Linked DNA regions of Arabidopsis thaliana. The protein of the gene in region 2 interacts with the protein of the main gene of each other region in a biochemical or structural test. Each region holds a gene or a part of one and is shown on either strand. Other genes may lie near its edges. The genes, in order: PARP2 and AT1G06760.

Region 1 (6,914 bases), on a different chromosome or scaffold from region 2:
AGAAAAGCTAATAGCAAAAATCTGAGAAGAAAGACTCAGTCTTTACCTTGAAAGGCAGCACTTGGCATTCCAGTGAGACCTTGCAACATCCGTGTGTGTCTATCGTCATCACCTTCACCTTCCTCATTCTCGCTGTTTCCACCATCTTCATCATCATCTGACTCCACATTTTCATCCTATATTGAGATCATAGACACTTTTATCAATAAGACATACATATAACAAGGACAAAACAATTGCCAAGACCAGATCTAAAGTTACTATCTCATTACCAATCAATCAATTAAAAACTCTCAATTTTGGATTCACCAATTTGTTATAGCGTAAGAATCCCGATAGCAAAAACCCTAATTGAGCTAAAACCAAAATCTGTAGATTATCTTCTTATCACTAAAGTTCAAAACTTGCAATTTCACACAGTGGCGGAGAATTAGTGAAGAGAAAGAATAAAACCTCGAAATCCTCGGGAAGCTCGTAGTCGTAGTTATCGACGCGGTCATAGCGATTGTTTTTCTTAGACTCTTCCTCAGGCACACCTTCTTCATACTCATACAAATCGACGTTTTCATCGTCGGAATCGATCTCATCGTCATCTTCGTCAGAGTTCAAAGGACGTTTCTCATTGGCAATAGTCTTCAGGATTGAATTAGGCAAATGAGGACCTTTCCTCTTCTTGTTCTTAGCTAGGGTTTTCGAAGTAGATTTTCTCTTTTCTCCCATGGCTGCCTCTGCTTTTTTTTTTTTTTGCCGTTTAGTTTCCGATTGAGATTTTCGTAGGGTTTCTTCTCTTTCGCTTAAATACTAATAAAATCGAGTTTCAGAGAATAAGAATTTCTCAATCATACCAACTAAACCGGATAAAATTGGGTATGGTTTGCGGTTTAGCGTACCAATATACGAGTGAACCGTGCAAAATCAGAGATGAAGGAGTTTGAAAGAAATACAATAAAACGCTGATTTTTGGATAATTAGTTGATGTTCAAAAGCTAATATACATAAGTTTTAGTGCTTGTAGTTGAATTTGACTTGGATCACATAACGCATCTTGATTTGTTCCACATTGTAGACTATATATTCGTTGTACAACAACATCCCCTGCAAAAGTTATATAAAGTCAGTTTATGAAATTTGAGAGAGTTAGATTTTGTGAATGTGTGTTGAAGCAAGACAAAAACAAAAACCTTGGAGCATGAACGTTCCACTGGTTTGCCAAGTGGAACAACAACACCGTCTTCTAGTGTTTGAGCCTCTGATGGGTTTGGTGCTGTTTTCCCCACACCTTTTGTGCTGCAACCATCAAATAACAAATCAAGGTACAGTACAAAAATAGTAAATCATAATTCATTGCGGTTTGAGATAAGGAACTTGTGTGAAATATGAATGAGATTATCTTCATACCTTAGCTTTCCCGGGGGTAGATTATCCGCGTTATAATCTGAATACAGAAGTTCATTCATGTCTCCCAAAGCAACCTAGAGAAGTTTTTATCGTTAGGAAACATAAGGATAGTTATGTTGAATGGCTATAGAGGTCCTGTAGTTATACAGTAGTTTTGTTGTTTTCTATATGAATAGAGACAAGAAGCGAGTATACCTCGCAGAGGAGCAGAACGCCATCATTAGCGCCAGTGTTGGCATAGCAATAGTTCGCACTCTTGGAGAACATATCCGCAAAGTAAACCCCTTTTCCAAACATGTAACCAGTTACAGGCGCTTCAGGAGGAGCTATTCGCAGACCTGCTTGGTGTCTCATAGTTGTTCATTTTACTATGCAATTGAAAATCCCCCAAGAGGAGAAGAAAAAAAGTAGTTACTAAGAGGAAAAAGAGTAACATGTTACCTTGAGATAAAATACCAGCCCAGTTAGTGAGACGTGAACCGTGCCAGAGTAGCATCCTGTTCTTCGAACTTGAAAACTGCCAAGAAAAATTAAAGTCTCACAATGCCAAAAACGAGAAATCAGAATAATGTGTATGGTACTGACAAGCTCGAAATACCATAACATACCTGTTGGAATCGATCAGCTTCAACAGCTCTCGAAGCTCTAAATAGTTGAGCAATCTCAACCGTATATCCCGAATGCGTCTTTGCATGAGTGTTCTCCATGTAATTAGCAACCTGATTTTGGTTTTAAGGAGTAAACACCAAAAGGTTTAAAACACAGACATGTTTGAGATGCTCGAGTATCAAAGATATTTGTTCAAAGTTCACAAAACCGAAAATTTACCATAGAGAACTCCTCTGAATCATTTCCTACTGGCGTCAAACCACAATTAAGTTGCTGGTAGTGATAATATAAAGGATCATCCTACAGCCATTGCAAAAAATAATGTCATATTCTTAGAGAACTATACGACGGAGTGATTTCATGCCTTCAAACCACATAGACTGACTGAATTACCTGCAATCCCGGGTCGACGGACAACAACTTTGTTGCGAGTTCAATCTCACCTAATGCTTCAACCTTACAAAAAAACGATATATTAAAAACTACACAAAACATGTAGCGACAAACCATTGCTTTTCTGAAGACCAAAACTAGTCAAGTAAGGAAACAGTAGGAAAAATTACCATTTCAATTTTCTGTTTCAACTTTTGAGGAGTGTCTATAACAAACTGGCCTGTTACAGCTCGGAATTCAGATGTTAGTGAATGTTTAGTTATATATATCGTAAACCTTAGCACAGATGAACTTACTCATTTTCTTAAAACCAAAATCATGAGGTATCACTGTGTAGAACTCTCTGCATCAATGATAAACAAAGTTAGACTAGTTCAAATCTAATTTCTTTATGGGAAACAGTTACATAATCAACTAAATGCGAAAAATTGTCTAGCAATTAACCAGATACATACCCACTCAGTTCCTCAAGCCTCGTTCTATCATACCGATCAATCACCTCCGATATTCTCTTCAGCACTTCATAACCCTAGACATGTGGAAGAGGAGATTATATCATCTGAAATCACACCAAACTATAATTTACGGAAATGAGACCAAACAGACTGTTTACTATCTTTACCTTTGAAATTGTGGACTTGCTTATCTTGCCGAGTGGCAATTTGTTAGCGTTATATCCTTCAATTCCAAATTTAGAAGATGTATGAAAAATCAGCAAGAAGTAAAGAAACCAGCAAAATGGCAAACAAATGGATAGGACAAAAGATAGGAAGTACAAACGCAGGTAATAGGACACCAAAACAAAGAGATAATGTATCGACATATAAAAATCACTGTTAATCTGCCAATGGATGCTCTCACTTGAATGAAGTGATCAAAGTTAGACTCAAACCTATTTCCATCATATGCTGTGCCATCATGCTGACATTACATATAAGAGAGATGAACTTGGCAACCCGAGTATCTAGTTTTGATTGTTCAGGTTTAACTTCGGAAGATGAACTCGGAATATCATTATTGACCTGAGAAAAAAAACAATCGTGAACTCTGAGTAAAGTGCACATTTGAACGAAGAGAAAAAAAATATATAATTGCAATTAAACGGGAAAAAGAAAAGTAGATATGCACTCAAAAACCTCATTCCAGCAGATCCCTTGGATCATACCACACAACAAATAGTAAGAAGAGAAAGAGAAGTGAGGATTCCAAAACACTCACCGGTGAATCATTTTCCTCTTTTCCGTAATCCATTTCGAGCCATGTATAGGACTTGGGATGTGGGATAAACTCCTTTCTGTCAGACCAATAATTCTTTGTCTTGTCATTGAACTTATTGGTAAATATCTCTATCGCACGATCCCATGAGTCATAAGGCCCATCTAGCTTACTTTGTCCTTTCACACCAACTCTTCCCCATCTGGTGTAAACCATGTATGTCTTTTTACTATCCGACTCTGCACAATGCACAATAGATAAGATAGATCAATGATGATAGTATCTGGAACCAAGAAGAATGACAAAGAGTCATCAAAAGCTGCTTCAAGAGGTTTCCAGTACTCGAACAAGACAAGTATCGTCTCATTAATCTTGGAAAGTAACCAGGGAAATTATTGTTGAAGGTTTTGGAAGACTGACCTAGGACTTGTAGGACAAAGAACTTGTTATTATTATCCCTGACATTTGTCTGATTTAAGATAGCATCATAAACATCATCACCCTACAACATTCAACAAAAAAAGAAACAGTTTCTAACAACATTCATGAACACGATAAGATGCAAAAACTCAAGATTAGGTTCCAAATCCTCACCCTTTGTAGAACATGGTACTGACTCTTTATCTCATCAGGAATCCACTGATCTAACACCGCTGCACCCTTCTTTGTCGCGGTTACGATTTTCTCTTCTTTCTTTTCTTCTTCAAAGCCATTGTTGTCATCTTCAGCTTCATCTGTCCCTTAATACACAATGACAATAACAACATTAAAAAGACTCAATTTTTACCAAATTTCTCAATAGTCCAGAGAATTGAACAAACCATTACTGGATTTGACTGGTGCATTGGAAACGTTATTAGCATCATTGCAAAGCCTCTCAAGAAGATCCTTTTTGGTTCCTGTTGTATCTAAGCCTCTCTTAATAGCTTCCTCACGCAATTCCTTCACAATCATCCCACGAAATTCGCCAATTGCAATCAATTTGTTCGATTCATAAGTATCATTAGAAGAATTTCTTTTCCTCTTGCTCTTTGATTCTTCCTTCTTAGTGTCTTCTGCGATAGCCTCTTCAAGCCTCTCCACCTACACGAAACACCCAATAAACAAATTCGAATATCAACAAAATAGAAAGAGTATTTCAATGCAATTCAGAGAAATACCAGAACGGCTTTGACTCCAGTAGTACTGAGTCCACGCTCGGCGAGTTTTAAACGGAGTTCGTCGACTTTGAGCTTGTTCGCCATTTTCGTCTTCTTCTTCAGGAGAATAGTTCGTCGGAAAGGGAATGAGACTGAGGAAGTATGGTTTTCGTCAGAAGTGAGTTCGCGCGAGCATTTGAAGAGTCTTCTTCTTCGTTTTCTTCTTCATCGATGGCTTCCCTTGAAAGCTTTAGGGCTTTTTGAAAAATTATTTTAAATTTTTTTGACAAAAGTTCTCGTTCATATTTGTGGATATTTCCCATATAACTTTTTAATCTCCAAAAGACCCCAAACTTTTGGATTGATTCTTAAATCCACCCCTGACCTTTTTAAAATAGTATTTATTTCCTACCATTGATGATGGCAAGCAATAGAAAATCATGAAAGATAAAAAAAAAAAGGTTAAAAATCTAGTAACAGGCAAATACTTTGAAAAGGAGTTGAAATTTTGTACATAGGTTTAACTCTTCTATTAAAAGAAACAAAAAATCTCTATGTTTTAAAATGTACTACTAATTTATAATTTAAGAACATTTTTCTGAAAATTTTGCTGGTTGTTTAACGAAAAGAAAAATATACAAATAGTTTTTGGCTGTAATGCTACGCCACTACTCACTTTTCCAAGGACGTGCATACAAATTACCGTAAACGGATTATAGGACTTGTGTTGACTAATGACACAATTCTTTTTTATTAAAAGAGATTAGTCTCCTTGAAGAAAAAGGGACACAAATTATTCGTAACATGTTAATCAAACCAAGGTCTTAAGTGGCTACCAACCGCATACGAGTGTTGAGCCGAGCAGTGCTGTGTCGAGCCGGGCTGGATTTGGCATTTGGAATATATGAAATGGGCCAACAACCCAAAAGATAAAATTTCGTTACTTGGACAGTAAAAACTAAACATGCATGTTTATTAGCCCGTAATCTGCATAATCACAACTTACGAAGAAGACATAAGAATCAACAGGCCCATCATAAAGTGGGACTAACGATTTGGTTTCCACTATTATTTGGCCCATATATTGTTAATATTGTACACTTCAAATATTATTTAGTTAGAAAAAAAAAAAAAAAAACTCTTGTAAAACTGGATGGTTCTAGTTTAGTTTTAAAAAATGGTTAGATGATAACGATATTAATATACGATAAAGTTTATATAAAATATCTTTTCATAACCAAATTTACATGACAACTAACATTCGGGTAAGCCATGTAAAAGACGAGATAGAGATTTTGACCAAAGAAGAAAAGTAGAGAGAACATGCAAAAGCCAAAAAGAAAACATAGCCAAATGGTTGAGTGGTGTAGATGGACCGAACCAACAGACATGTTCTCAGTTCATATACCAACCGCCTAACATTACAGCCTGTCCCCATCCCCTATCTTTATTTTTCTTTTTGGCTCATTTAGCTTCAACTTTTTTTAATAGGTGTGATTAGAACATACTAAAAAAAACATATGTTTTAACTTATATTATATGAATAAAGTGTTGTTTTTAATAGTTTATATTTCTATTACAAGTACAATATATAGGATATTTTGGTTAACAATTTTAAATTTAAAAGATATTGTGAGTACAAATCATTAAGCTTAACACAAATGTTCATTGCTTCTTAATTCTTACAATCGGAAAATTTGGACAAAAAATCTAGACTAATCTCCAAAACATTGTGAAAAATTGGGGGTTTTTTTTATCATTTAAATTGTCTATAGTGGTCAATCATTATTAAAAAAAATTGTTTTTTGTTGAAATTTTAAATTATAAAAAAAAAACACGTTTATACATAAAATGCAAAAACTTTTCTTAAACCAAATTACAGAGAAAGGCTATCACCATCCTTGTCTTGATGCCAACCACACTTGTAATCCCAAAATACATACTTAAACTATACTATACTAACATGAATTGGTTATACGATTATCTATCTAGTTAGCTACATAATTCATATAATTAGTTTTTTAAAATATACTTATGTAATGATAGTAACTAAAAAATATACTATCTCGAGAAATCCAACCAAAATGCTATGATAGTATATAAAATAAAATGAAAGAAAGAGGAACCAAGTTGTGAAACCATTTACCAAGAAGAAGAAGA
Region 2 (4,019 bases):
CCAACTTAGAAAGCCCCAACTCACCCCTAGGCTAGTTATAGTTCTCCTGCACTAAGAGTTAACAAGAACATCTTATCAATGGTGCATAGATAATAGTAGATAAGAAAAATACTAATAGGTGAAGTGTGATTGTGAAACAGCTGATAGGTTGGAAAGAAAAGGAAAAGACATTGCTAGTAGATACAGAAGAGATAGATTGTTTGAAGCGAGTAGGAGGGTTAAACGAGAACGCAGGCTCCATTTACGAGCTCTATAGACAACCCAACCCTGCTTGTGAAGCAGGTTCAATCTGGAAAGACATTGTTCTTTCACCTTCAAGGTTTAGCATTCAACAGGAACTCAAATATTCCATTCAGAAAGTTGAAAAAAGATCTAAACAACATCTCATCAACAACACCAAAAGCTGAAAATGGTAAACATAGAAAACAAGGGCAGAGTTGACAAGGAAGAACAGAAACTTGTTCATTGTATAACTTCAATGTTGTAAAAGTTTGTTGATTGTATAATAACATCCATGTTTACTATAACTCAACAAGAACAGCACTAGCCTGACACAAATTAGCTGCAAAGAAACTCGAGTTTGCTTCATTGATGAAATCTATATATGATTTAAGGGGTAGTCCAAAGGAACTGTGAATAACAAGAACACTGAAAGAAGAAAAGCAAACAAAGTCGCATAAAGATGATTGAATTATACAAGTCTAAACTATCGTTAACCATTCTTCTACCTACAAACCCTAACTTCACTTCTTAACCCTAGAAGAAGCCCTCTTTGCTGGAGACTTAACCGTCTTTGGCTTCACAACCTTCTTAACCGGAGTCTTCTTCTTTGTGGCCACCGTAGCAACTTTCTTCGTGGCAGCAACAGCTTTCTTAGCCGGAGATGTAACCTTGGCCGTTTTGGCTGCCTTGGCTGGTCTAGCCTTAGCCTTGGGCTTCGCATCAACAGCTTTCCTCTTAGTTGCAGCAGCAGTGGCACGAGGAACGGGCTTAGCCTTAGCCTTCGCGGTCACTTTCTTAGCAGCAGCAGTCTTAGGTTTAACGGCGATTGTTTTCTTAGCCTTGGAAGCCGCAGCGACCTTTCTCTTCGCCTTGGTAACCGCCACAGTCGCCGGTTTCTTCTTCGCAGGAGCAGATTTCTCCGCTGCCGCCTTAGGGGATGATGCTTTAGCCGACGCCGATGGGAGTTTAAACGAGGCTTTGACCTTCACAAGCTTCCCAGAAGCAACGAGTCTCTTCAGATTGAGAAGCAACAGCTTTCTGAATGTTGGAGGAAGCTCCTTACGCTTCTCCTCGATGAACTTCTGAATCGCGTATTGGCTAGATCCAGTTCTCTCTTTCAACGTAACAATCGCATCCTTAATCATCTGAAATCGCATCAACAAAGAACACAAAAATCAATTTCTAAATTCCAAAATCAGAATCCGGCTTAATAAGAAACACGAATAAACGAAATCGAATCTCATTTTTACCTCTTCGTAAGTAGGATGAGATGAAACAGTTCTCTTCTTCGGAGCGGCAGCAACAGTCTTCTTCTCCTTCACTTCCTTAACATTCTTCGTCTTTCGTCCTTTCGCTGCAGGCTTCTTCTCAACGGCCGCATCCGTCACCGGCGCATCCGCAGCGGTGTTTCCTTCGATCGTAGCAGCGTTCTCTATTTCCACCTCTGACATCGTCTTCTGAACTTAAGATCGGAAAATTTGATTGCAAGAAAGCGTAAATGTAATTTCGAAAGTGATTATGAGGATTGTGAAGAGGATCATTGGAAACGTCCGATTTATATAGTTAGATGTGTATTAGACGGCAATTCATATCTGGCTTCTGATTGGTTAAAACAATGACTACGCGGATCGCTACTCTTTTCTCAGGTTTGAATATTAATCGTTGGATCAAATTTTATCGACGGCAGAGAAAGAAGGAGTGTAGATGGTGGGATGAGTAAGTTAGTGGATGTGGATTAGATGCTTTGGTCATATTTGTTGTGCTTTTAGACTCGATTCATTTGACCATAACTCGTGATATACTCGATGAAATTCGTTTTTGTTTTTTGCATTGTGTAGAAAATTCTGTGAGGGTTCGTTTGATTATCTAAACGTGAAAAATGGATTATTTTGTAATGAGATATTCGGTTATGAAGCAAGATATGTCAAAACTATTGTTTTTCTTGCTAGTATTACAGTATATTTGGTTTTTCGAATAATGCTAAAGAGAATTTCGATGAAAATTATGTTAATATGAAACTTGACTAATCAAGGAGTGAACCGAACCAATAAACGTGGGATTTCAATTACTTTTTGATCCAAAATCATTTGAATGAATACTACCTAAGATGACCATCCTCTAGAATATGTTGCACACTACTTGTTGATGTGTCATGTGTCTATGTTAAAAAGAGTCCGGATTATTCATAGATTGTGATTTACTAGTTTAAGTATGTAATCAACCAATTTTAATTGATATTAAAACACATGTATAACTTTCCTTTAGTTATGATGCATAGATTACGTTTCTTAAGAGCAACACATGTACAAGGTCATCCGAGAGGCAATCTAGTCTAGGTGCAATCTCTTCAATGATTTTTTTTTGTTTTCTTTTGGATATCGTTAAGCATCATGGCTATATGTAAAGCATGAATTAAAAAGAATCTGTTAAATTGCATACTCGTAACATTTTTTGAACATCATAACAATTTGTTATATAAATATGTTACTCATATTAAGCATGATGGTTGTCACCACATAGTGGTACTCACGATAACACAAAATAGTGATAATGAACTTCATTCGTCTTTTGTCAGATAAGTTTTATGTAGTTAATTTGGTAGTTTTCTACCTCCATATAGGTCATCACAGTTCTACTACATTCGTCATCCACAGTCAACACTTGAACAGTAATTCTTGAAAACCTTAGTTTCCATAGAAATGATGTAGTACCCAAATAAATGCATATAAATCAATCTAAAACATCTTAAACTACAACATTTGATTAGAAAGTGACAACAATGTTACATGCAAGTCCAGAGAGGACACATAGTAGAAGAAGAAGAAAGAAAAGGGAAACAAATTTTGTATTTTCTTGCACAGAAAAGCGACTCATGAGTGTATATTTCGTCTATAGAAAAAAATATTAATACTAATTTCACAACACATTCGACTGCTCCTGTAGTTCTAGTAATGTTCTCTCTTGTAATGCTTTGAGAGATTCCATAAACCGAAAAGAAAAGATTACCCTGTCTCCACAGAATCTTCTTCTGCAACAACATGAGTCTTTAAAGTCCTTTACATGTTGCACTCTGGTAGCTTCCGAGCATAGACAAGAACCATCGTAAAATCCTTTGCAGAAGAACCTACCAATGCAGCAAACCGTTGGTGGTTTGAACTTTTCTGGAGCCATAGATCCACTAAATTGTAAAGCGTCAGCGTTGGGATCACCGCTTCTCCCATACACTTTATCTCTATCTGAACATAAACCATAAGTATGTCCATTTTTTATCAACCAAACATATAAGTTCCATTATATTCAAACGTTCTATCCTTTCTCGTGCCATAGTGCATATAAAGACCCTTACCTCATTTTCACTCTCGAGATCTAGCTTCCTCATGAGGTACTTTTGGATGAAAGAAACTGTTGTATTTCCATCCCTATCACAGAATGAGACATTGGATTATCTTCCCCAACAAAAGAATTCCTCATAACAGAAAAATGAGGGACTATGTAAGATGCAGCGACAACACAGGATATATAAAACAAAGAATACCTAAACTGTAACCTACCTTATTCTCAAAAAATTTGCTGGAATTTGAGGTAAAGAAGTTCCTCCTTCCCTGTAACCAGTAAGCCCTTGTCAATATACCAAGAGAAGAGAAACAAAATGAAGAAAGAGAGAAAGATCATGAAAGGAAATAGTTTCAGATATGAGAGCAAAAATCTCACTGATCATTGGACGCCACAAGTGAGAACCAAACGGGACCATTTCTCCTCTCCTGTTTTGCACTTGACTCATCTGGTTGTGGCAAATT

What was found.
Region 1: of the proteins of AT1G06760 (region 2) and PARP2, one has a biochemical effect on the other in vitro, tested with the Arabidopsis thaliana proteins (one study listed by BioGRID).

The regions. Positions count from the first base shown.
Region 1 is NC_003075.7:1,048,049-1,054,962, reverse strand, and holds PARP2 (poly(ADP-ribose) polymerase), read right to left. Parts: upstream 5,198-6,914; 5' UTR 4,860-5,197; coding exon 4,776-4,859; exon of another isoform or gene 4,699-4,775; coding exon 4,437-4,698; intron 4,356-4,436; coding exon 4,210-4,355; intron 4,118-4,209; coding exon 4,036-4,117; intron 3,855-4,035; coding exon 3,619-3,854; intron 3,423-3,618; coding exon 3,293-3,422; intron 3,079-3,292; coding exon 3,023-3,078; intron 2,930-3,022; coding exon 2,856-2,929; intron 2,744-2,855; coding exon 2,697-2,743; intron 2,621-2,696; coding exon 2,571-2,620; intron 2,464-2,570; coding exon 2,401-2,463; intron 2,308-2,400; coding exon 2,227-2,307; intron 2,118-2,226; coding exon 2,007-2,117; intron 1,916-2,006; coding exon 1,840-1,915; intron 1,737-1,839; coding exon 1,594-1,736; intron 1,473-1,593; coding exon 1,399-1,472; intron 1,288-1,398; coding exon 1,182-1,287; intron 1,096-1,181; coding exon 1,003-1,095; 3' UTR 777-1,002; downstream 1-776. Other genes in the region: AT4G02400 (U3 ribonucleoprotein (Utp) family protein), read right to left, coding at 47-176, 454-720. UniProt on the Arabidopsis thaliana protein: Involved in the base excision repair (BER) pathway, by catalyzing the poly(ADP-ribosyl)ation of a limited number of acceptor proteins involved in chromatin architecture and in DNA metabolism.
Region 2 is NC_003070.9:2,075,944-2,079,962, forward strand, and holds AT1G06760 (winged-helix DNA-binding transcription factor family protein), read right to left. Parts: upstream 1,825-4,019; 5' UTR 1,674-1,824; coding exon 1,473-1,673; intron 1,368-1,472; coding exon 744-1,367; 3' UTR 561-743; downstream 1-560. Other genes in the region: AT1G06750 (P-loop containing nucleoside triphosphate hydrolases superfamily protein), read left to right, coding at 141-407; DRIP1 (DREB2A-interacting protein 1), read right to left, coding at 3,279-3,458, 3,569-3,641, 3,774-3,824, 3,934-4,019. UniProt on the Arabidopsis thaliana protein: Histones H1 are necessary for the condensation of nucleosome chains into higher-order structures.